7 linked regions of the Canis lupus familiaris genome follow. The protein of the gene in region 7 purifies or fractionates together with the protein of the main gene of each other region. This does not show direct contact. Links are inferred from orthologs where the notes say so. Each region holds a gene or a part of one and is shown on either strand. Other genes may lie near its edges.

Evidence for each region.
Region 1: the proteins of CTBP1 (region 7) and ZNF217 purify together in Homo sapiens (affinity purification with mass spectrometry; 10 studies listed by BioGRID and IntAct, counting the BioPlex papers as one, with this or other methods). This does not show direct contact. The link is inferred for Canis lupus familiaris from reciprocal best matches to the Homo sapiens genes CTBP1 and ZNF217.
Region 2: the proteins of CTBP1 (region 7) and ZBTB18 purify together in Homo sapiens (affinity purification with mass spectrometry; 3 studies listed by BioGRID and IntAct, counting the BioPlex papers as one, with this or other methods). This does not show direct contact. The link is inferred for Canis lupus familiaris from reciprocal best matches to the Homo sapiens genes CTBP1 and ZBTB18.
Region 3: the proteins of CTBP1 (region 7) and CHD4 purify together in Homo sapiens (affinity purification with mass spectrometry; 3 studies listed by BioGRID and IntAct, with this or other methods). This does not show direct contact. The link is inferred for Canis lupus familiaris from reciprocal best matches to the Homo sapiens genes CTBP1 and CHD4.
Region 4: the proteins of CTBP1 (region 7) and EHMT2 purify together in Homo sapiens (affinity purification with mass spectrometry; 4 studies listed by BioGRID and IntAct, counting the BioPlex papers as one, with this or other methods). This does not show direct contact. The link is inferred for Canis lupus familiaris from reciprocal best matches to the Homo sapiens genes CTBP1 and EHMT2.
Region 5: the proteins of CTBP1 (region 7) and MECOM purify together in Homo sapiens (affinity purification with mass spectrometry; 6 studies listed by BioGRID and IntAct, counting the BioPlex papers as one, with this or other methods). This does not show direct contact. The link is inferred for Canis lupus familiaris from reciprocal best matches to the Homo sapiens genes CTBP1 and MECOM.
Region 6: the proteins of CTBP1 (region 7) and WDCP purify together in Homo sapiens (affinity purification with mass spectrometry; 3 studies listed by BioGRID and IntAct, counting the BioPlex papers as one, with this or other methods). This does not show direct contact. The link is inferred for Canis lupus familiaris from reciprocal best matches to the Homo sapiens genes CTBP1 and WDCP.

The regions. Positions count from the first base shown.
Region 1 is NC_049245.1:40,079,178-40,082,677, reverse strand, and holds part of ZNF217 (zinc finger protein 217), read left to right. Parts: intron 1-52; coding exon 53-423; intron 424-461; coding exon 462-981; intron 982-2,512; coding exon 2,513-2,622; 3' UTR 2,623-2,635; intron 2,636-3,500.
Region 2 is NC_049228.1:35,073,739-35,076,204, reverse strand, and holds the end of ZBTB18 (zinc finger and BTB domain-containing protein 18), read right to left. Parts: coding exon 1,404-2,466; 3' UTR 501-1,403; downstream 1-500.
Region 3 is NC_049248.1:7,660,347-7,663,846, forward strand, and holds part of CHD4 (chromodomain-helicase-DNA-binding protein 4), read right to left. Parts: coding exon 3,357-3,500; intron 3,267-3,356; coding exon 3,178-3,266; intron 3,075-3,177; coding exon 2,941-3,074; intron 2,621-2,940; coding exon 2,476-2,620; intron 2,363-2,475; coding exon 2,197-2,362; intron 2,143-2,196; exon of another isoform or gene 2,003-2,142; intron 1,917-2,002; coding exon 1,819-1,916; intron 1,710-1,818; coding exon 1,580-1,709; intron 1,190-1,579; coding exon 1,118-1,189; intron 815-1,117; coding exon 677-814; intron 418-676; coding exon 309-417; intron 198-308; coding exon 65-197; intron 1-64. UniProt on the Homo sapiens protein: ATP-dependent chromatin-remodeling factor that binds and distorts nucleosomal DNA. Acts as a component of the histone deacetylase NuRD complex which participates in the remodeling of chromatin.
Region 4 is NC_049233.1:1,484,577-1,488,736, reverse strand, and holds the start of EHMT2 (histone-lysine N-methyltransferase EHMT2), read left to right. Parts: upstream 1-1,360; 5' UTR 1,361-1,375; coding exon 1,376-1,655; intron 1,656-1,750; coding exon 1,751-1,969; intron 1,970-2,068; coding exon 2,069-2,319; intron 2,320-3,234; coding exon 3,235-3,319; intron 3,320-3,416; coding exon 3,417-3,457; intron 3,458-3,577; coding exon 3,578-3,733; intron 3,734-4,160. UniProt on the Homo sapiens protein: Histone methyltransferase that specifically mono- and dimethylates 'Lys-9' of histone H3 (H3K9me1 and H3K9me2, respectively) in euchromatin.
Region 5 is NC_049255.1:34,038,822-34,042,321, forward strand, and holds part of MECOM (histone-lysine N-methyltransferase MECOM), read right to left. Parts: intron 3,167-3,500; coding exon 3,019-3,166; intron 1,692-3,018; coding exon 1,535-1,691; intron 1-1,534.
Region 6 is NC_049238.1:18,573,364-18,575,914, forward strand, and holds the end of WDCP (WD repeat and coiled-coil-containing protein), read right to left. Parts: intron 2,368-2,551; coding exon 2,240-2,367; 3' UTR 501-2,239; downstream 1-500.
Region 7 is NC_049224.1:92,002,343-92,005,733, forward strand, and holds part of CTBP1 (C-terminal-binding protein 1), read left to right. Parts: intron 1-922; coding exon 923-1,129; intron 1,130-2,551; coding exon 2,552-2,766; intron 2,767-3,391. UniProt on the Homo sapiens protein: Corepressor targeting diverse transcription regulators such as GLIS2 or BCL6. Has dehydrogenase activity. Involved in controlling the equilibrium between tubular and stacked structures in the Golgi complex.

The sequences.
Region 1 (3,500 bases), on a different chromosome or scaffold from region 7:
GCGGCCCACGGCGCGGCCCTCGGTGCGGCCCACGGCGCGGCCCTCGGTGCAGCCCACGGCGCGGTCCTCGGCGCGGATCCGGGCGCCCGGGAGCAGCCGGCGGGGACGGCGGCCGACGGCAGGCACCTGCCCGGCGCGGACTGTCAGGAGAAGCCCCTGAACCTGTCCCTCGGGGCTCTTCACGGCTGCCCGGCCATCTCTCTGAGCAAGAGTTTAATCCCAGGGATCACCTGCCCGTTTTGTACCTTCAAGACCTTTTATCCGGAGGTTCTGATGATGCACCAGAGACTGGAGCATAAGTACAACCCCGACATCCACAAAAACTGCCGGAGCAAGTCGGCGCTGCGCAGTCGGCGCACCGGCTGCCCGCCCGCGCTGCTGGGCAAGGACGTGGCCCCGCTGGCGCACTGCCCCCGGCCCCGGGCCCGGCCCGCCCCCGCGCCCGCGCCCGCCCCGCGCAGCCCGCCAAGGCCGCGCCCGCCGACCGCGACCGTGACCGCGACCGCGACCGCGGGAAGCCGGGCCCCGCCGCGCCCGCCAGGCCCCCGCCGCCGGGCCTCGACCCCAGCACTTTAGCGCCCAGCAACCTGAAGGCGCCGCGGCCCGGGGGGGCGCCGGGGGCCGCCCGGCCTGCAGAGCCCGTGCACGTGGAGCGCGGCCGCAGGCCCGACGCCAGGCCCCGGGCGCCCCCCGCCAGCGCCGCCGCCAACGGCTGCGCCGAGCGCCCCTGGGCCCCGCGGGGCCGCGACCCCCCGAGCGGCCGCCCCGCCGAGCCCGGGGAGCCCCTGGCCAAGCGGCCGCGGCCCGACGCCGAGCCGCCCGCGCCCGCCTTCCGCCGCGCGCTGGAGCTGCCCAAGTACCAGGTGGTGCGCGGCCTGCCCGCGCTGCTGCCCGCCGAGTGCGTGTGCCCGCCGCCCGCCGCACTGCCGCCCAAGGCCCGCGCCACACCCGCGCCGCTCTTCTGCGGGCCCGCGGCGGAAGGTGAGCCCGGGGCCGGGGCGGGGGCGTGCTGTGCGGGTTCCCTGCTCCCCGAGCCGGACCTCGGCTTCTGGTCCTCCTCCAAGTTTGGGGCGATCGGGTCCTCGCGGGCAGGTGTATCACCCGTGAGCCCCCAGGAGCAGGTGCGCCACCCGGTGAACCACCAGGGGCAGGTGCGCCACCCGGTGAGCCCCCAGGAGCAGGTGCACAAGCCAGTGAGCCCCCACGAGCCAGTGCACCACCCGGTGAGCCCCCAGGAGCAGGTGCGCCACCCGGTGAACCACCAGGGGCAGGTGCGCCACCCGGTGAGCCCCCATGGGCAGGTGCGCCACCCAGTGAGCTCCCAGGGGCAGGCGCTCTCCGCACACCAGGGACAGAAAGCCTACGAACCCCAGTGCATGGCTTCTGAATGGTTTTGATAACTAGGATTTTCGGCTCTTGCTGCCTTATTTAGCATTTGTTAAACGCCAAGTGCATCGTAAAAGGCACTCCTTTCCCCTAAATGGATAGATTGTTTAAGTCGTGGATTTACTTTGGAGTTCTCCCCATGGAAATGTTTTCAAAACCCCAGCTTCCTCCTGGCCGCGGTCCCTTAGGGGTGCATGGTGCGTACCTGTGCACATAAAGAGGTAGATCAGAGTGTCCTGGGGACCTGGCCCACTTGGCAAACTTGATTAAACCACTTCCTTTGTCAGATATAAGTCTTGCTGGTTTGTGCAGCCCCAAGGAGAAATCCATTTTAAGCCTCTCAGTTTGTATTAATTTCAAATTAAGGGTTCTGTGTGGTGACAATACTCTTATCAAGGATAGCTTGATGCCATTTGATCGGGTAGGGATAGCAAATTAAAAAACAATTGCTTTCACACACTCCAGTGAATTTCATAAAAATTGTGATGAAATATTAATTTTTGCAGCCTTTTGATTAAAGCAGCCTATTTTTCTCCCTACCAGCTCTTAAAACGGATAGGCGTCAAAACTTTGCCTTTAATTGAAGAGTCTGGGCTCTGTGTTAGAAGCAAAATCCTTTTTTACTTTTTAAAGATTTATTTTTAAGTAATCTACACCCAACATGGGGCTTGAACTCACAGCCCTGAGTTTGAGAATTGCTCATTCCACCAAATGAGCCAGCCAGGTGCCCCATAAAAATCCTTTTCTGAGAAAAGTATTTTTTCTCCTCTTCCCCACAGTTTTGGTTTATGGTGTATATAAGTTTAAAATATTTTATGCTACCATTTTTTGGGGCTTTTTTTTTTTCTGTGCCTAAACCCTGGATCTTAACTTTATAGTTCTTATTAGTGACAGCATAGTACTTAGATCTGTTTTAGCTTTAGTGACTTACAATTTTGTGCTAGCACATGTCCTCAGGGCACTTAAAAACATTTTACTTGTAACTTTGCAACATGAATGCAACTGGTGTGTTCTGATCACATTACCAGTCAGGAATTGTGAAAATTGAACCTCTGACAACCCATATACATCTTCCCAGTTGTTGGACTTAATTCTAAAGACCTTTCCACATTTTTTTCCCCAACAGGAAAAAGGCCTGTGTCGTATCAACACTTGTCTAGCAGCATGCTACAAAAGAGAAACTATGAGAATTTTATTGGGAATGCACATTATCGGCCAAATGACAAAAAAACTTGATTTACTATTTCGGGTAAGAAAGGTGAACGCATATATGATGTATTGATTTTATCTGATTGAAAACAAACCATCTGGCTTATCCAGTAGGATATAAAGTAAAATTACTTTTAATTTTATTTATTTTCAAGATTTGTTTAATTATTTTGGAGAGTGAGAGCGCAGTGGGGGGAGGGGCAGAGGGAGAGGGAGAAAGACTCTCGGCAGAGCCCTGAGATATGACCTGAGCCAAATCCAGGAGTTGGAATGCTTAATGGTGCCACCCAGGTGCACCTAATTTTAATTTTAAAGTGTTTTATTTAAAATTTTTTATTTTTTAAAACATTTTATTTATTTGAGAGAGGGAGAGAGAGAGACAGCAAGAGTAGGGGCAGCAGGAGAGGGAGAAGCAGACTCCCCGCTGACCAGGGAGCCCAATGTGGGGCTCGATCCTGGGACCCTGAGATCGTGACCTGAGCTGAAAGCAGACACTTAACCCACTGAGCCACCCAGGCACCCCAGGTTTGAAGTGTTTTAAAACTTTGAGTGCTCAGGGTCTGTATCAGTGATGATGATTATATTAATAATAGTAATAGAGACTGGAATTTACTAAGCATTTATTTTATGCTCAGTCTTGAAGTATTTTATAATCATGACCTCACTTAATCCTTTCCACGGCAGGGGGCATCAGGCCAGGGATTAGCAAACTGCCCTCCACCTGTTTCTGTCTATAAAGTTTTAACTGGCTGTCAGCCATGTCCATTCCTTTATGTATTGTTGATGGCTGCTTCTGTGCCACATTAGCAGAGCTCTGGGTAGTTGTGACAGGGAGCACACGGCCTGCAAAGCTGAAAATATTTACACTCTGGCCCCTTGGAGAAAATGTTTGCTGACCTCTGGGT
Region 2 (2,466 bases), on a different chromosome or scaffold from region 7:
TGAAGGGGAGGGAGAGAGGGAGGGAGGGAGGGAGGGAGGGTGGGTGGGTGAGGGAGAAGGAAGAAAAAGAGAAGGGGAGCCCCCAAAAAAAATCCCAAAAAAAAAAAAAAAAAAAAGAGAGAGAATGACCTATTGTCAATTTGTGCAGTAGTTACTCTAAAAATGCTCAACTGGGTAAATGTGTACACCTAAACTTTTGAGCTGGCATGGGTTTTGTGCAATTAGAAGTTTGTTATAAATGCACACTGCACATGCAAATCTTTAAGCCGTTTGTAAACATTTATATTTTCCTTGTTATGTAGCGAAGTTATCAATTTGCAGCTTAAGTTTTTATTCAGCTTAACAGTTTCAACTTAAGGACAGTGGGAAAGTCAATTTAAATTATATAAAATAAAAATAAAAACAGTGCATTTACGTTCTTCATAACACCAGTTTTTTTCCCCAAACGGTGCTATTTTTTTTCTAAGGAAATTAAATAATTTTAAACTCACTCGTTAAAGTTATACAATGCAAACAAAGACAAAAAATATATTGAAACTCATGCATTTCTGTAGCGTTAATATTTACTTTTCAAGACTCAACTAAGAGCATCAACACAACCTGTCAAGTTCTTTGACACCCCCCCCAGCCCGTGTAATCAGTTACAGTATACAAGAACAGTAATTCACATTTTTCAACACACAGTTCAACACTGCTGAAGCTGCAATATCCTTTTTCATCCCAAGCAAACCTTCACAAAGACAGCGTCCCAGTGATCCCAGTGTACTTTCAGAATTTCTCTCATTGGGAACCGTCAGAAAACCAGAAGTTGCCACAGAAAGTTTTAAGTCAACTGCTTGTTTAAAAATAGATAATCCAGCATTTCAGAAATTTTCCATTTGGGTCTAAAAGCATTCAGGTTTCCAACAGCCAGAAAAGATTCATGCAATTTGTGACATATAAAGAGGCTAAGAAAACTGGAGGGAATTTCTACTCTGAAAAGGAAAAAACAAAAACCCAAACAAAACCAAAACAAAACAAAAACACAAAACCAAAACAAAGTGGAAAAAGAGAGAGAGAGAGAGAGAGAGAGAGAGAGCGCTCAGAAGACAATGCAGTGTCGACAAAATTAAGCCCTGTGAAAGCATCTTGTGATAGGACGAGTTGTTTCCAAGGTTCTTATTGGCTTCCTTCCCCTACCCCCTCGAAAGAAAAAGCCCTCTCTAGTCTCCGACTTGCTCGAAAGTCTCTTTTACCAGAATGCTAAATTAGTGAGAGTCTCATGCTACTCTAAAGTGCAAAACCGAGTTAACACCCCGACGTTTTAGTTCCAGGAAACAAGGCTGCTTTTAGACCGTACCACAACTAGATAGAGATCTATGTATATATATGTATATATATATATTATTTATATATATATAAAATTATTTCCAGAGTTCTTGAGAGCTATCTTCTAAGGTCCAGTCTCTGACAGTGGGCAAGCTCAGGGCTTCGCTTTTGACAGACAAGGAGTTCACCAACTCACAGTGGAACTTGCGGATGTGTCTGTACAGGTCCCCGGACTGCGTGAACCTGCGCTCGCACCACTTGCAGGCGTGCGGCTTCTCGCGCGTGTGCACCACGGCGTGGCGGCTCAGGTTGTGCGAGTACTGGAAGCTCTTGCCGCACTGCGTGCACGTGTAGGGCTTCTCGCCCGAGTGAGTCCTCTCGTGGCGCTTGAGCGTGTACATGCACGAGAAAGTCTTGCCACACAGCGAGCAGGTGGGCACGTTGACGTCGGCGGCCGGCTTGCTGCGTAGCCCGTCCTGCTCGCGGAAGTGCGTGCTCAGGTGGATCTGCAGGATGTGTGGGCTGGGGAAGACCTTGTTGCACAGCGGGCACATGAAGATCTGGCCGGCCGGGCTCAGGATGTTGGACACGTAGGGCAGCAGGCTGCTCTCCATGCCGCCCTCCACCGGGCCGCGCTCAGCGTCCGGGGTCATCATCTCGTCGTCGCTGGCTTTGTCGTCGCGCTCGAGCTCCCTCAAGACCGAGTCCTCCCTCAGCGGAGCCAGGTGGGCCGGCTCATACTGTACCCTGGCGTTAGTGCTCACACTCTCTTTCACAGCGCTATGTTCCATGTCATAGTCATTAGTGCCAACCTCGCTCTCCTCACAGGAAGCCTCTTTCTCCACCTTCACCTGCACCAGGTTGCTTCTCAGCACGTCCTGTGAAGAGAAATAAGAGCTGTTCAGATTTTCAACTCCCGAAAGGCTGGACTTGACAGACAGGTCCAGCACACAGTCAACATCTGCCGAATCCCTCACGGAGGTGACAGACCTCTGGGACAAAGACTCTGTGGAGCTGCAGGGGCTGGCGACTGTTTTTCCAGCTGCTGTGGCGTGTGGCTCGGCCTCCCCGCCTGCCGGGGGGATGCCTGCCGAGTCGGAGGGCAAGCGCATCCACATGTTCCCGGGCTCGGCCGCCAAGTCCCTTTTGCTGGGCAGG
Region 3 (3,500 bases), on a different chromosome or scaffold from region 7:
TACAGTCCCTTCTGCATTTCAAAGGCTGTCACTTCAATACTATATTCCTCCCTATCCTGCTCACCTTGAACCTTCGGGCTAGAAACTTATTCTTGATCTCTAAGAAATTGCCACGATTCATTTCACCCTTGAAAGGTTCATTGAGGATGGCATAGCGTGGGTCATTCTGGATGTCCTGCCACCGGGCATAGCCATGGCTATTGGAAAATTGCTCAGGAAAAACAAAACAAGGAAAGCAGAAACTTCAAACAGTAGGACCTTCAGAACCCTTTACCAAGAACCTCAGCCCAGACTCCAGCAAAGGATACTTTATGATGCCAGCCAGCAGCCAGTAGTCGTGCCGCCGATGCCAAATCTCGTAAGTCTTCTTAGTGACTGTGGCTGCCCGCTCCTCATTCTGCCAAAGGGAGTGCAACTCTGAATAGGAATTTGGGGAAGGTGGAGAAGAACAAGAGAGGCAAATATCTGTAAGAATTCAAAAAGCTATTTATTCCTGGCCCACAGATGCCATCTTAGGAGTAGGCCTCTGGCTTTCTAACATAGAGTCAGAGGAATGTGCAATCAACTTGGCAGTCCCTTATCTGGTAGAGGTAAAATCTTTGTATCCTGGCCTCTGACAAGAACCCTACTTTCACTTCAGATCCTTCTAACCCCAGTTGGTCCCTCAATGTCATACCAGTAAAACCACCATCTGCAATATTGAACATGAAACGTTGTTTGATATTTTTTTTCTGCTTCTCATCATTCAGGTCCTTGGGGGTCTCTCCATTCTGAAGCATCACCTCTTTTTTCTCTTCTTCTTCTTTTTTCTCTTCTACAGGATATGCAGAAAAAAAATGTCAGCTCCAGACAAAAGCATAGCACCTTGGTCCTTACCCACAGCACTATATGCTCTAAGCATGCAGCCACCTTCACCCTTTCTCCACACAGGTATTTCTCAAACCCAGAAAAATGTCACTGGCCCGTGACAATCATATGTAGGGACAGTTGGGAGTCTTTTAGCTTGGGATTAAATAGTTATATGGGTGTGAGAAGCCAGGGGGTGTACCAGAGATAAAGTCCTTGCATCTAGTTTTAGAGTCCTTTTTAGTCACGATCAGCTTCTCCAAACACTCACCTTTGTCCTCTACCACAATGGGGGTCAGATCTACTGCTGACTTCTCTTCTACCTTCTCCACGTCAGCAACACCTGGGGGGAACAGATGGGATTTGAGAGTATATAAAGAACGTTCTGGGGTGCCTGGCTGGCTGTCGTTAGAGCATGCAACTCTTGATCTCGGGGTTGTGAGTTCGAGCCCCATGGTGGGTACAGGTTACTTAAAAATAAAATCTTTATAAGAAAATAAAAATAAAGAAGATTCTCCTCTGTCCCACACCAGTTAAGACTGGGGGACAGTCTTAACCCCAAATCTCAATGACTAACATCATAAAAAATGTCTTAAGGGATTAAAAACCCTCAATATAAAATCAAGGGTAGGGGATTCTCCAGGGTGTCACTTCCTCCTGACCTTTCCTTAGCCCAGCTAGAAGTACCTAAGTTTCACAGGGATCTGGATGTAATACTTGGAAATGTGGATACCTTTGGGCTCTGTCTCCATTGGTTCCTCTGTTCTCTCCTTCACCTCCGCCTTTTCTACTTTCTCCTCAACCTCAGGAGGTTCAACAAGGACTTTTTCATCCTCTGAGGCAGGGGCAGGGGGTTGTGTACACTTCAAAGGAAAAAGTACATAAGTTGAGGCAGACAGGCCAGCAACTGAAAAGATGAATGGGCTTCTTCATTTATCTTCCGTATGGCATCCGGTCACCCCCATCTCTTACCTCAACAGTGGCCTCCGGAGCTGTAGATTTAACCTCCTTTTCTCCTTCTACACTCTCTTCTTCTTTGAGGCTATTCTCCTCTATTTTTATCCCATCCTCTGCAGACCAATAGAAGGCAATTAATTAGGAAGAAAGTTCTAGATCAGAGAGAAGGTCATGCCTTCTCAGTTGGTCTTATCTTAAAATTGTCCTCTCGTGCCTTTAAGAGCCAGCCCTATTCTTAGGACGGCTCTCCTAAACTGAGAGGGAGATTGCTGTGTGTCCTGCCAGACTCCTCTGTCAGAGCTCAATACAAGGGAGCAGAAGAAACACTGGCAAGGACCAAAAAAAAAAAAAAGAAGAAGAACAGAAAAGGATAGACAGTACAGACAGACTTACCAGCAGGTGGAGCAGGTGCAGGGGTATTGGGTTGTGTGTCCCCCGGAGTGGAGGGTGTAGGAGTCTTTGGAGAAGGTGACCCTGGCTGGGACATTTTCTTATTTTCTTCTACTTCAGCAAGCTCAGGCATGCTCCAACGCCCATTGACATGTTCAAACTCCTGAACCTGTAGCAATGGGACAGGAAGGTGAAGACCAATTCCAGCTCTAGGCTCCTCTCCCGTTTGTCCTCTAGTTTCCCGTAGAAACTCTGAACAATGCAGAGAGGCTTAGGGCTCACCTTCTTTCGAATCAAGGACATGACACCAATCCTGGTAAGGACATGCTGGCGAGACAAGCCTTCTCGGGGGACACCATCAGCAAAGGTCTCAGCCCCATCTGCTCCTGGCTCACATAAATGTCGCATGAAAAGAGATACGTAAGCCCTGTAGCAAAGAAGTGAGAAAATGAGTTCAACAGCAATCAGGCCAACTCCTAGAGGAGATCTTTCCACCAAACAACTCTGGCTCCATCTTAAGATAAAGCTGCCATCACACTGAAGGCCAGTTCTCCAGAACCCACACCATGCCCCAGGTTCTCCTCTAGGGAAACTAGGAACACAAGGAACCCTATTATTAGTGGTTACACCCACCAACTTCAACAGAGGAACCTGCCTGTTTCCGTGTGCAGCCTTGACTAGTACCATGGAACCACCAGAGATCAGAAGTTTTTGCTCTACCATCAGTCATTCCAGCTCTCCACTTACTTGAACTCTTTCTCTGATTTGCCTCGCAGATCTCTCACAAGCCACTGGGTGGTAAAAGCATCCTGAGGTGGCATCCCATACCGCATAATTGCATTAAGAAAGGCTTTTCGCTGGCGAGCATTAAAGCCAAGTACCTAGAGGAAGGAGGAGCCTAAGTGAGAGGGAGTAGGCCTTACTCCATCGATGACCAAGTATCTAGCACTCACCCACCCCACCTTAGAACCAAATGGCACTTACTTCGATATTTCCACCAACACGAGCCAACAGAGGAGGCAATGGCTTATCTTTATCATTCCGCAGGCCCTTACGGCTGGGCCTGCGGGGAGCTGCAAGAAGAAAAGGATGTGTGAGTGATGCTGGTAGGGGTGTGAAACAAAGCAATATTTAAAAAGTCAGCAGAAAGGCATAGCTCTCACCTTCTGAACGTTCATCAAAGTCTTCATCACCTTCCTCTGAGGCCACTGAATAATCGGACTGGTTGTCGGACTGGTCGTCCTGCCAATCTGGAGGGAGAGAGGGCAGATGAGCGGGGCCCACTGCTCTAGTGGAACGGCCCATGG
Region 4 (4,160 bases), on a different chromosome or scaffold from region 7:
CAAGTCCCACAAAGCTCTGAATAGTTCTTAACCAAAGAGAACTACAGTTCCCAGAAGGCCTTGAATTGGCCTCAGGTGCCCTGGAGCCAAACCACGGACCTCTACCAAATACTGCGCGTGAGATCTTACAGGGTTTTTTCCAAACTTTGACCAGAATATAATACCCAAAGGGATGGTACCCTAAATAATGCTATCAAGGTTTTTATCTCGGTGTAATATCATTCATACTTCCTCTGTCAACTGGGCTTATGACCCACGGAATGCCTAGGCTTGCGACCAAAAAAAGGCTCCTTAGTATAGTGTACTCAGCAGGCGGTGATGACTGTGGAGCCTCTGGGGGTTACTCAGGTCCCCGGTGCACTTGGTGCCTTAGCATACCCGGCTCAAACAGAAGGGACCCTGAGCCCCGGGTTCAGGAGAGGACGCTGCTCCTGCCGGTACGAAGCAGTCGAGAGCACCGGTGTCCTCCATGCGTTCCCGCTGCCCCCTTCCTGCTCGGGGGAGAAGCGAGGCCGACACTTGCTACCCGGAGACCCAGAAACTAGAGCGCACCGAGGCGGGAGAAGCAGACGCGGGCCTCCTCGGGAAGATAGCCGCCGCGAGCCGGGACGCTCAGACGCCGCTCTCGTTACCTACGGACAGGCGGGGCACGGAGGGGCCACCCCGGCCAGGCGTGCCTCGCCTTCGGCTCCCCGCGCAGCCGACGCCCGCAGCGGCGGGAACGCGCCCCCGAAGCCCCCAGCTTAGGGCAGCCGCTGCCACCGCCGAGGCCGCTCCCGGCGTGGGGGGAGATGGCCAGAAAGCGCGCCGTGGCTCCTTTAAGGCCCCTCCTCGCCCCCCCTCCCCGCCCACGTGACCCGGGGCGGCCGCGCGCCGGCTCGGCCCCCCGCGCAAGCGGCGATGGCGGCGGCGGCGGGAGCTGCAGCGGCGGCGGCCGCCGAGGTGCGGAAGGGGAGGGGGAGAGGCGGGTGCATGCCCGCGCGCGCGCCCGGGGGAAGCGCGCGCCCGTGCAATGCTCCGGGGGTGCAACGGGGCCGGGGGGCCCGGACGAGACCTACAGCAATCCGGAGGGCCAGCACCGGGGGCGGATGAGGGGACCAGGGGGTGGGAGGTGGGGGGAGTGGGCACGGAGGCGCGCGTGCAGCCGCCGGCTGCCCCCGAGTGGGCAGCGGGAGCCGGGGCCCCAGGAGCGCGCGCGAGGGGCACGAGGGGCCGTCCGCCGGGCTGGGGAGCGGCGGGCGCTGGAGGGGTTGGTGCCCGGGGTCCCCGCGGCCTGGGGGACAAAGGGGGAGCGGCGCGTGCAGCCGGGAGGAGGGGGCGGGGCCGGGGCGCAGAGGCCCCGCCCCCTCCCCCTCCTCTTTTCCAGGCCCCAGAGATGCGGGGTCTGCCGAGAGGGAGGGGGCTGATGCGGGCCCGGGGGAGGGGTCGTGCGGCCCCCCAGGGCAGCCGAGGCCGCGGACGGGGGGGCCCCCATCGAGGAAGAGGTAGGCCCCGGAGCCTACTCTCTCTTCCCAGAGCCCAGGCGTCCTGGGCTCCCCAACTTCCTAGCGGGCTGACCAGCCCTCCTATACCTTGTGTCCCCTGCCAGGGGGAGGCCCCTGCTGAGATGGGGGCGCTGGTGCTGGAGAAGGAGCCCAGAGGAGCCTCTGAGAGAGGTGAGTGCGGCTGAACAGGCCCAGCTGGACCTTCACCTCCCCCAACACAGGATTCCCCGAGACCTTAGCCCTGAACTTTTTCTTTCCCCTTACAGTTCACGGCTCTTTGGGGGACACCCCTCGTGGTGAGGAGACCCTGCCCAAGTCCAGCCCTGACTCCCTGGAGCCTGCTGGCCCCTCATCCCCAGCCTCTGTCACAGTCACCGTGGGTGATGAGGGGGCTGACACCCCCCTAGGAGCCACACCGCTCATTGGGGATGAACCTGAGAATCTGGAGGGAGATGGGGACCTCCACGGGAGCCGAATCCTGCTGGGTGAGAGGCTGGGGAGTCAGGGGCCTGGGGGGCAGAGGGGGGGTATCCTCTGATTACCTCTCGTCTTACCTTGTTTCTGTCTGCCTATTTGTCTTCCAGGCCATGCCACAAAGTCATTCCCCTCTTCCCCCAGCAAGGGGGGTGCCTGTCCCAGCCGCGCCAAGATGTCAATGACAGGCGCAGCAAAATCACCCCCCTCAGTCCAGAGTTTGGCTATGCGGCTGCTGAGTATGCCGGGAGCCCAGGGGGCAGCAGCGGGGCCTGAACCCCCTGCAGCCACACCCAGCCCAGAGGGGCAGCCCAAGGTCCACCGAGCCAGAAAAACCATGTCCAAACCAGGAAATGGGCAGGTGAGAATGAGGGGGAGGGGTGGAGGTGGGGAGACCCAGGTAACCCACTGTGTACCCCTTGTGGACTTTTTTTTTTTTTTTTTTTTTTTTTTTTTACAGTTTAGCTTCAGACTTTTTCTCATCCCTTCAGGGCTCGCCATACTTACCTAGGGGCTACTGTGTGTCAGATTCTGGGCTGGGCTTGATCTGAACAGACAGACAAGTTTATATTCTTGGGGAGAGGGGAGTTGTAAAAAAGGTTAGAGGGGCACTTGGGTGGTTCAGTGGTTTAAGCATCTGGCTCGGGTCATGATCCTGGATCTAGTCCCACATCAGGGAGCCTGCTTCTCTGCCTCTGTTGCTGCCTCTTTTTGTCTCTCAGGAATAAATAAGTAAAATCTTTAAAAATAAAAAAAGGTTAGAGGATTACTGTTGTAGTTAATTGTCCCAATTATTCTTATGATAATGACTAAGGAACTTCTAACTTGCTTTCTACCTCAAAGCAAGCCCCAAGGGAGCTTTTTCCCTCCCTTTGAAACTCCCCCTGCTTCCTTTTTCAAAGGGCTTCTAAGGATTTTACTGTGACTCCCTACAGGGAAGGAGGGTGAGGGAAAGGACAAAAAGCCCCAGAATTTCAGAAGCTTTGTGACAGTGTTTTTGGGGGTTTGGGTATGGTTTAGGTAGCTTTGGGCAAGGCACAAACCTATTTTCTCATCTGTAAAATGGGTAAAGAGGGCCCGCTCCTTCGGGTGAGTGAAAAGGTGAGTGTTAGGTGTGGAATGTGCCTCATACCCTTCTTCTCGAGAGACAGCACTTCTTGTGATTGCCACATTCTGGCTTACTGGAGCTTCAGGTGACATTTTTGAGGGTGTGGCTCACCCTTGACTGAATGCAAATGCTCCCTGACCCTAAAGTGTGCTCCCTCTCTGCCACTAGCCTCCTGTCCCAGAGAAGCGGCCCCCTGAAGTGCAGCATTTCCGCATGAGTGATGACTTGCACTCGCTGGGGAAGATGACCTCAGGTCAGCGCCACCCCCACACCCCACCCACCTGCCACCTGATAAATCTTGTCCGGAGGGTCGAAGAACCAGCCTTATTCCTTTCTCTCTCTCCTTCCAGATGTGGCCAAAAGGAGGAAGCTGAACTCTGGAGGTGGCCTGGTGAGCCTAGAGAGGCTGAAGACAAGGCCTCTCCACCTGGGGGGGGCTGCATCCTGCCCTCAAGGGAAATGGTTGGGAAGGGAAGTACCAGCAGCTTCCATTTTTCTGATCTTTTCCTAGTCGGAGGAGTTGGGTTCTGCACGGGGTTCAGGAGAAGTGACCATGGAGAAAGGGGACCCAGGGTCCCTGGAGGAGTGGGAGACAGTGGTGGGGGATGACTTCAGCCTCTACTACGACTCCTACTCTGTGGATGAGCGTGTGGACTCTGACAGCAAGGTGAGAAGGAGCCAGCCTACCTCTCTGCCAAGGCTCACTCTCCAGTCTTTCCCACCCACCCACCCCCTTTGTCTCTCTTTCCTTTTTACCTTGTGACACCCCCTAATTCACCTTCCCATCCTCTCTGTAACTTCCTCCCTTTGTGTGTTCCACCCCAGCCCGGCCCCTCGCCCCTCTCCATTGTGGTAACCACCATCCTGGACTTTGGGTTTAGCATCCCATTTTGGTTTTGGGTTTTTTTTTTGTTTTTAAGATTTAATTTATTTATTCGTGAGAGAGACACACAGAGAGGCAGAGACACAGGTAGAGGGAGAAGCAGGCTCCACGCAGGAGCCCAATGTGGACTCGATCCCAGATCTCCAGGATCATGCCCTGGGCCAAAGGTGGCGCTAAATCGCTGAGCTACCCCGGCTGCCCCCATTTTGTT
Region 5 (3,500 bases), on a different chromosome or scaffold from region 7:
GATAGGAATCTACAATTTCTGACTTTTGGTTTAAGTAATAGAGAAAGCGTTAAAAGGGTGATCATAATTTGTTTGGCCTATTTTTTTTCCACCCAAACACAATAAATGTATCAAGGTCTGTTTCTGAGAAATCAGAAATAAATGAGTAATTTATGCCCGTAACCCTTTGCAAGTACATTTTTTTAGGGGCGTTACGACCTAGAGTCAGAAATGCTTTTATGAGACAAGAAGTCTAAAATTTCTATTGTATGCTTTATTTCCCGTGACTTTCAACAGAGCTTCCCCAAGGGAGACCAGAGCACCCTTTTGTTTATCAGCTAGTCCTCTTCACTCCACCCAGGGAACAGAGGAACATAAGAGCAAAACAAGACTCTAGTGTAAGCTGGAAAAAATAGCCCCCCTGGTGCTCGGAAGCACAAAAGAGGGCTGTGTGGAGGTAAAAAGGAGGCAGGCTAATCTGTGGCATCTCCATGCTGGCACTCAAAATTATTTTTTGCCCATCAGGTCCTGTAGTAGTGTCTCGTACGCCTACTACAAACTATTGCATTATTCGTCAAAAAAAAAAAAATGTTTTGTAAGGGTTCCCAAATCAGAGGTTTTGCCAACCATGGTGTGTGCTTCAATCACTTCTGTGTTTGGATCCAAAATCAGTCTTGAAGTTGGTAGCACAACTCAGTGAGTCACTGTGTTTGTATGCCCTGCTGAGCAATGGATCAAAAGAAGTCCAGAGTCGTTGCCCAGATGGAGAAAACAACTGCACGATACAGGGGACGGGAGTTGGTGGACAGAAGAAGCAAATGGACAGAGTTTTCCTTTATGTGGAGTAGGTTACTGAAGTGCTCTGTACAGGGACGTTCTAAGTAGGTGGTCAGACTGGGTGTCCTCTGAACATGCACTGCCTGTAAATCTGCTCTAGTGCAGGGAGGGAGCTATGGAAGCAGCAGGTCCCGCATCAAAATGAAAATGTTCTGCTTTTCAAGTCCCCAAGGACTACCGACTGGCAGCCTGTGATTGGTAAAAATCTGTAGATTAAGGGCAAGTTTATCTGCCCCCCTCTCCTCACACACACTCACACACACACACACACACACACGTGCACATAAGCCCACTTGCCAAGTGGGGTACACTCCCAGTCCTTTCTGACCCAGAACAGGTTTTTATCACTTCATCTTATTTAGTGGCATCTGCCATTTGCAGTTTCACAAAGCCATGACCATTTCCAGTGGGAGACAAGTCTGGTTGTCTCTATTAAATCCTACAACCTGGGGAGGCTTCCCTTCCATTATTTAATGACTTCTCCTTTCTCTGCTCATTATTGATTGCATCTAAAAGAAAACACCCTGGGGATTATGGACAAAATACCATGGATCTGAGTGTAAAATATTTTCTTGTAACAGAAAATAGCCCTACTGGATTGGACCATAAATAGCTAATGCCCAGACCCTTCTACGGCCATGCGGCCACACTCCTCATCACAATGCCTTTTGGACGAGAGAAGGATGCAGGAAGGAGGGCTGGAGTGTTAAAAACTTACAGATAAAGGGCTTCACACTGCTGTGGATGTGCTTGTGTTGTTTGAGGCCCGACGAAGTGGCAAACGTTTTGCCACACTCCGGGCACGCGTGGGCCCGGGCACCAACATGCTGAGAGCGGATGTGCCGCTGAAGGTTGCTAGGGTCCGTGAAAACCTGCTAGGAAATGAGTACTGATTAATCAAGAAACTTAATTCCAGGACACAAGAAAGAAGACCAGGAATGACTCAAGAAGGAATTTGGTTTATTTGTTTTGGTTTTGTTTATTTGTTGCTCCCTCAAGACCAAAAGAAAAGTCATCTTTCCAAAGCGTGCACTTCTCTAGGCTAGGGAGGGACCGTAAATGATTCAGCTCTGGGTCCTCAGCATGAAATGTCCATCAGTATCAGCCGAACAAAATAATTTATGGCACTATTAGACCACATTCAAGGTCTTTTTGATCCCATTCGGAATAATTAGAGTTGAATCATAAAACGCCAGCCTAGACATTATTAAAACTGGTGTGCTATTTTCATCCTCTAAACCAAGACACACCATGTACAAAACTGGGGGGAGTTTACTAAAGTATCTTACGTCTACTCAAGGAGTCCCCTCAGGAGTTAATGTTCACCCTGTGTTTCAGCAAATTACAATGAAGCTAAAACCATTCCTTTAAACATTGTATTAAGAAAGAAAGAAAGAAAGAAAGAAAGAAAGAAAGAAAGAAAGAAAGAAAGAAGAAAAGAAAGAAAGGAAAAGAACAAGTCACCCACACTTCAAAACATCTCTAAAGATAATTTCAAATACCACAATTTCCACTGTCATGAAGAAAGCTCTTCAAATGCTATGAAAAGGTTTTGGAAATAGGAATCAACTTTAATGACATTAGGGCATCTTCTAGTTAATTGAGAACCATGAAAATTACATGATATGAACTACTGTTTTCACATTGTAGAGTCGTGGTCAAGGTGGAGTGCTTTCGCTGCACCCTTATGCTGTTTAGCAGTGGCCACTAAGGCACTACGTTTTTAATTAGAACCAAGTCATGATTTATGGTGGGGCCTTGGGTGGAAAAATCTGCAAATGTAGGAGTCTCCTATTCTTTCTGAATAGGCATTCAGAAACTTTATGTGACTTCCTCACAAATTGCTATTAAAAGAAATCAGTAAATGTGCGTTGGATAAAATTTTCATTCTCCATAAGGCTATAAAACAACCCCACACTGGCAAGCCAGTAGCGGAACCAGGAATTTACCAAGGATGTCTGACACCTAGTTCTGGAACTCACCATTAAGCCTCACTTCCTCCCTTACAAAAATAAAAGGATACCCACTAAGTGTTTTTATACACTGTACTAATGCCTTTTAGCATACAACACTCAGTCTACTTTTCTCAAGATATTTATAGTTTCCCCTCTCAAGGCTTGTTTTTATATATCATAGCAAGTGATGGATTAAGAGAGAGCAGGATGACAGAGAGAGGCCAAGTAGTCTACAAATTCACTGTACCTTGGCACAGTTTTCACATTCATAGTGCTTTCCACTGTCATGTGACATCTGGTGGCGAATTAAATTGGACTTCCAGTTAAATGCCTTGGGACACTGATCGCACTTGTATTCCCTCTCTTCTGTATGTGACAACATGTGTTTCTCCAGGCTGTTAAGAGAACAATTGATTTAATAAGCCATGGTGACAAAGAACACATTCATAAACAGAATGTCATTTTATTAGTAATCCAACTGGCAATTAAAGAAATAAGAAGGAAGAGTCGTTGAGGTGAGGAAGATGAAGAAGAAGAAACAGGCCTGCAAATGAACAAAAAAACATGTATTTCTCCTAGACCGTGACTCTCACTAACACAGAGAAGAACCCCTGTGGTTAGAACATAAATCTTATACAGCTATCGGGGGTTAGCTGCCAATTTAGGGCCACGGTCAATGACTAGTTATTTGTCCAGTTATTTGTCCAGTTCTGAATCCACTACACCATT
Region 6 (2,551 bases), on a different chromosome or scaffold from region 7:
AGTGGTTGAGCGGCTGCCTTTGGCCTAGGGCGTGATCCTGGAATCGTGGGATCGAGTCCCACGTCGAGCTCCCTGCATGGAGCCTGCTTCTCCCTCTGCCTCTCTATGTCTCTCATGAATAAATAAAATATTTTAAAAATATATAAATATAAATAAATTAAGCCTTTATATGTATTGTGTGCATCAAATAATATACCCATACAAAATTCAGAAAAATTTGGGTACCAAATGAGATTTGTAAATAACGTCTTTCCTTATGCAAAATATTCTCAACAGAACATTAAACAATACTTAAAAGATTATAGCTCTTCTGTCCTTGTTTCCAAAGCCAGCAAATACTGGATTATCTTCTATAGCTCCAATGACTATAATAATAGCAGAGGCCAAGGAAATGTCTTTTGTATGAGAGTTGTCATGGAATCACATTTGTTGTAAAGAAATACCTAATTTATGTGCCAGACTGTCCACCAGAAGAAATACAGAGACAACGTACACAAACATAAAATCAAGAAATTGTCTTTATACGAGCGATAATCACAGAGAAAATAACATCAGAACATTCACAACGGCCACAACAACCATTAGTGATTTTATTGACTCATTCACAGGACTGACCAGGGAAATGGTGGCTATTACCTGTACCTTGAGGCACCCGCACTGATCTTACTGCCTGGTCCCCAGGCCCCTCAGGCTTTATAATAGTCTTTCATCTCGCCCAGACACTTCCTTTGCAGACAGAACCAGGCCTCAAGACTGTCCTCGGCCACTGCTCTCAAGCACCTGATTACAGACCAACGGCCTCCACTTCCATTATCCCAGCAGCTGCCTAATGCATCTGAACCACAAAATGTGCCCTCACTTCTTTCCTATTCCAGCTTCATCTTCATAAATGGTAACAGACAGACAGGAGTCCCCAAGGGTATGGAGTTGTTTTTTTTCCAGATAATTTTCAAGGAAAGGGGGCAAAAAGATGCATATGTGCTAATGGAACCTCAATGGCTGAAACAATTTATCTGCAGATGTACCCTGAGTAGCCACACACTCATCAATTTGTCATGATGCCGTCACTGAAATATATGATTCTGTTCGAGAAATGGCATGTCTATCTGAAGTTGCAATCAGGGCTCTTTCCACTTTACTAACTCGGCACTTTTGCCCATAATTATAATAAGTTGGTACTTTTAACTTACCTCAGATTGAGTGAAATTTCCAATTCTCTGAACTATGTTCTCTCACAGACTATGCTGGTCTCTAAGACTTGAGAACATCAAAATTAAAGTGACAACTTAACTGAGGGAGCTAACTACTGGACAAAAATAGGACATTTTTATGATCCTAAAACTGGGGGGCGGGCATTCTAGGGAGAAAATCAGGAGTAGTGACAGCATGTAATCATGCCCTAGACCGCACCAGAGCTTGGCGTTGTACCGTTAACATAAGCACATCCTCAAGTAGGGTCCACAGGGGTCAAAGCACTTGATAGTTCATCTGAAATTTGCCTGGGGCTACTTTTTAGGAGTATCTGGACCTTGGTTAGCCAGAATTTTTTAAGGAAGCTGGTTGAGTTAGGTTTAGATCCTGGCAGGTCCAGCCCACATTAGAACAACTGCCTATTCTGGGGACAGAAGTCCACTTAATTTTTTTGTCTTCTTTTGAGCTCTGCTGATTCCTGCTGGTTTGAGTAAGGAGGATATGTTGGAGCATATGTTCTCCAGTACCTCTCATTATCATCTTTAAGCCAAGGAAATGATCTATAACAATGCTGAAGTACCTTTTAAGTGCTTCTAAGACAGCTTTAACAGTTTTGGGCAAGGGACAGAAAGCCTCAGAGAAACCATAAAACACAATCCATATGGCACCATAATACTGTTTTGTTCTGGGAATTTTGCCCTTAGACAAAATCACACAGTCACGAATACATAAACAACCACTTTTTGAGCCATCTAACAAAGACTGAGCTCTGCTCCAGAGCAGTGAGCTTCAGCCCGGGGTGGGGAAAAGGGAAAAACAGCCAACGGTGGCAGGTGCTTCCTCGCTGAGCGACAGCGCCAACCCCAGCTGAGGAGAGTCCCTGGCGGAAAAGAGACCTCGTCTGTAATGGCCTCATCTGAAAAGCTATGTATGCAGCAAATACTCCACAAATAAGTATCAGGCAGTGCTGCTTCAACGGGCAGGTCAGCCAGTGGCATCTGGACTCTGGACAGTCAGGTCTTTAAAGGCTTCAAGAGAAGGAGCAGGATTAAGACTCTGAGACAGAGTCTGTGAAGACATTTGTGCTGCCATCTCTGATGGTTATTTCCTGAGTGGCCGTGAAAGTTAATGGGATGAAGCCTTCGCTATCAGCACAGAGAAGGATCCAGTGTGAGTCTGCAAGGAAAATAAACATAGGCAATTTAGGGTATCTCATCTTATTCTATAAAGAAAAATAAGACAAAAATTTTTTTGAGGGTAGGAATAGAGTAGTTGATAATATTGAACTGATCATCATAAGACCAAGAAGAGGATGGGGAGACTGAAGGACAGTACTACGGAGGGTGAGGTTATACGGCAG
Region 7 (3,391 bases):
GGACCCTCGTGCCCTCTGCTGGCTCACATGATGGAGCCCTCCCGCCCCACTGTCACCCGTCCCCAGGCTGCATCCCCAGCAAAGGCCCCTGCAGCAGAGTTGACCACAGCCTGGATGCTTTCTGCCCCGGGGACTCCCGGGGGGCTTTATCCCTGTTCCCCGAGTCTGTCCTGTCTTGTGATTCTACAGGCTGGGCTCTGTTCCTCTACCAGGGACAATCAGGGCCATGCCCTGTGGTCACCCTGGCCGTGTGTCCCCAGATCTAGGGGATGGTGTCCCTGTCACCTGGTCCTCCTGCTCCTCATCTCTTGTGTTCACGGTGGGCTGAGATGTTTCCAGAAGGGAGTGGAGGATCCGCTCTGGGCCCTCTCACAAAGCCCTGTTCACGTGTTGGGCATCATCCTGGCATTTAGGGTAGCGCAAGGAACCGGTAGGCGCCCTCCCCTCGGCAGGGAGGTGACCAGTCCCCGGGAAGCACTGTGCAGTCACAGGGGCAGGGGCGAGGAGGCGGCAGGGCAGGATAGGTAGGCGGGAGGGGCCAGGCTCGGGAGAGGCGGGTAGAAGCGCGGAGGTGCTGGGCATAGAGAAGCCTCAGCTCACTCCGCAGGGCTGCTGAGGGGCGGTGGGGGCCGTGGGGCTGTGAGGACAGGGCCACTCCGTCCAAAGCCAGGTCCCAAATGGCCTGGGGGCCGAGGAAAGCAGGAGGGGTGGGGCCTGCGTGGCTGTGAGCTGGCGGTCAGGTGGCTCATGGTGCAGGCAGGGAGACCCGGGTGTTGGCACCTGCCTGGGTGACCTCGCCTGTCCCGTCCCGCCTACTTGCTGGACCCGCAGGCGGGCCTACATGGGGACGTTTCTGCGGCCCGTCTTGGGGGAAGCACCAGGACTGGCGTTGGTGACCTCGCCCGCGCGTCTGTGTTCCCAGGCATCGCTGTCTGCAACGTGCCGGCGGCGTCTGTCGAGGAGACCGCCGACTCCACCATGTGCCACATCCTCAACCTGTACCGCAGGACCACTTGGCTGCACCAGGCGCTGCGGGAAGGCACGCGGGTGCAGAGCGTGGAGCAGATCCGGGAAGTGGCTTCCGGCGCCGCCAGGATCCGCGGGGAGACCTTGGGCATCATAGGACTCGGTGAGTTAGCGGAAGCCCTGTGGCTGTGCTGCTGGGCGCCCCCCCCCCCCCCGCCCCGAGGCAGCGCAGGGCCGAGTCCTCTCTGCCCCGGGAACACCGGCTGTGGGTCACACAGGTGCTCACCAGTCACGTGCCTCTGCACAGTCGTGCCCGCCCACTCACACGCTGACCTGTGCTCCCTGTGCTGACACGCCTCCCCCACCCGTACCCTGTGGCACCCTGTGGCTGAGTGGACGTGGCCTTCAGGTGAGGGCCAGGTGGCCCTCAGCCCTGCTCCGGGGGGAGCTGCTCACCCGGCGCGCGGGCAGCTGTGAGTTCTGTTTCTCTGCCTTGTGTGTGGGCGCGTGTCGCTCCGAGCTCGGGCTCCATCCACCTGGGAGGCCCCGTGTGGACAGGACCCTGCCCCCTACTGGCCCCCGTGCCCTCCCCGCCCCTACCCCACCGGCTCTGCAACAGGAGAACCATAGGACACTTGGGGTGTTCTCGAGCCAGGCGCACACGTGCGTGAGTGCAAGGTGCCCACGAGGCACAGGCCTGTCTTCGGTACAGCTCCCGCCTTGCTGGAGGGGACGCACGGCCCCCCGGGGCGCTGTGCCCCTCCCCTGGGTGGGGGGGCACCTGACCTCAGCCGGCAGTGTCGTCAAGAGCCAGGAGGCCCCATTTCAGCGCGGCTGCGCCGGCGCCTTAGCCAGAGCCCCCGTCCAGTGCGTCCAGCGACTGCTCCCTTCAAGGTTGTGGCTACTTAGAGCGCGAGCAGCGGAGCTCAGAGGGAGAGAATCCCAGACTCCTCCCTGAGCGTGCTCTGTCGCGTGCGCCCCCCCAGGCGCCCTTCGGGGATGTTAAAGGTGCTTGGAGTTTGGGTTCCCACGTGCTGCGTGGCAGACGCTCCGTGCGGGATGTCGGGGGCAGCTGTTACCTGACCTCCCAACGCCGCCGGTTAGCAGTTTGGGTGGCATTGGCAGGACTGCTGTGCTCTGGCCTCACCTGGGGTCACTTGCAGGCGGGGCTGTGGCCTGGGGCCTGGTGGTCCCCTCTGGCGGACGCCCTCCGGTGCGCACGGCCCGCTCGGGCCGCCTCAGGTGCGTGGGACGTTCCAGCCACCCGGGGGCTGCAGGAGGGGTGGGGCCCTGAGAGTTGGGGCCGGGCAGGCTGGTCCTGCGTCCAGGTCAGTGCGTTCCTCCCGGGGGTGCTCTGAGCCCCTGTGGCCCCCTCCCTCCAAGGAGCGGGGCCCCTCGTCTGAAGTGGCAGCCCCACCCACGCACTCCCTGGGGAGCACCTCCAGCCCCCCGCCCGCTCCCTGAGTCCCGGCCCCACACGGCCACGCGGGTGTCCCTGCACTCGGCATCTGGATGCAGGCGCCCACGGGGCTGTGCCTTGCACGCCGAGCTAGGCCCACGGTGACGCGGTGTGTCGCCCTGCCAGGTCGCGTGGGGCAGGCGGTGGCGCTCCGGGCCAAGGCCTTCGGTTTCAACGTGCTCTTCTACGACCCCTACCTGTCGGATGGCACCGAGCGGGCGCTGGGGCTGCAGCGGGTGAGCACCCTGCAGGACCTGCTCTTCCACAGCGACTGCGTGACCCTGCACTGCGGGCTCAATGAGCACAACCACCACCTCATCAACGACTTCACCGTCAAGCAGGTGCGCGCCTGCCCCGCCTCCCCCGCCGTCCACAGCCCTGCCACACCCGCACCCCCAGGTCGGGGCAAGGGTCAGGGTAGGGTCACGGTAGGATCACGGCTAGGGTCAGGGTAGGGTCACAGCTAAGGTCAGTGTAGGATCACAGCTAGGGTCAGGGTAGGGTCACGGCTAGTATCAGGGTAGGTCACAGCTAAGGTCAGGGTAGGGTCACGGCTAAGGTCAGGGTAGGTCACGGCTAAGGTCAGGGTAGGGTCACGGCTAGGGTCATGGTGGGAGTTCTACACGTGCCACCGTTTCTTGACCCACGGCAAGTGCCTTTCCCTGCCCTGCGGGCTCCACCGCTGGGGGTCGTCTGCACTGAGGGGCCTGTTTCCTGAGTTCTGGGGGCTCCTGGCCCCACACACAGGGCACACGCCGCACCCGACGGGCTGGGTCCTGCAGTGAGCGTGCCCGTGCGGCGCTTCAGTGCCGTGTCTCCGGGGCAAAGACAGATGGCGGCTGGCAGCGTCACACCGTGGCTGTGAGGCGTGGCCCTGGGTCAGGCAGGAGCTGGAACTAGCAGTGGCCTCTCATGGGCTCCGGGGTCCCCGGCGGGGGTGTGTGTGTGCCCGCACGGGGTCTGCCC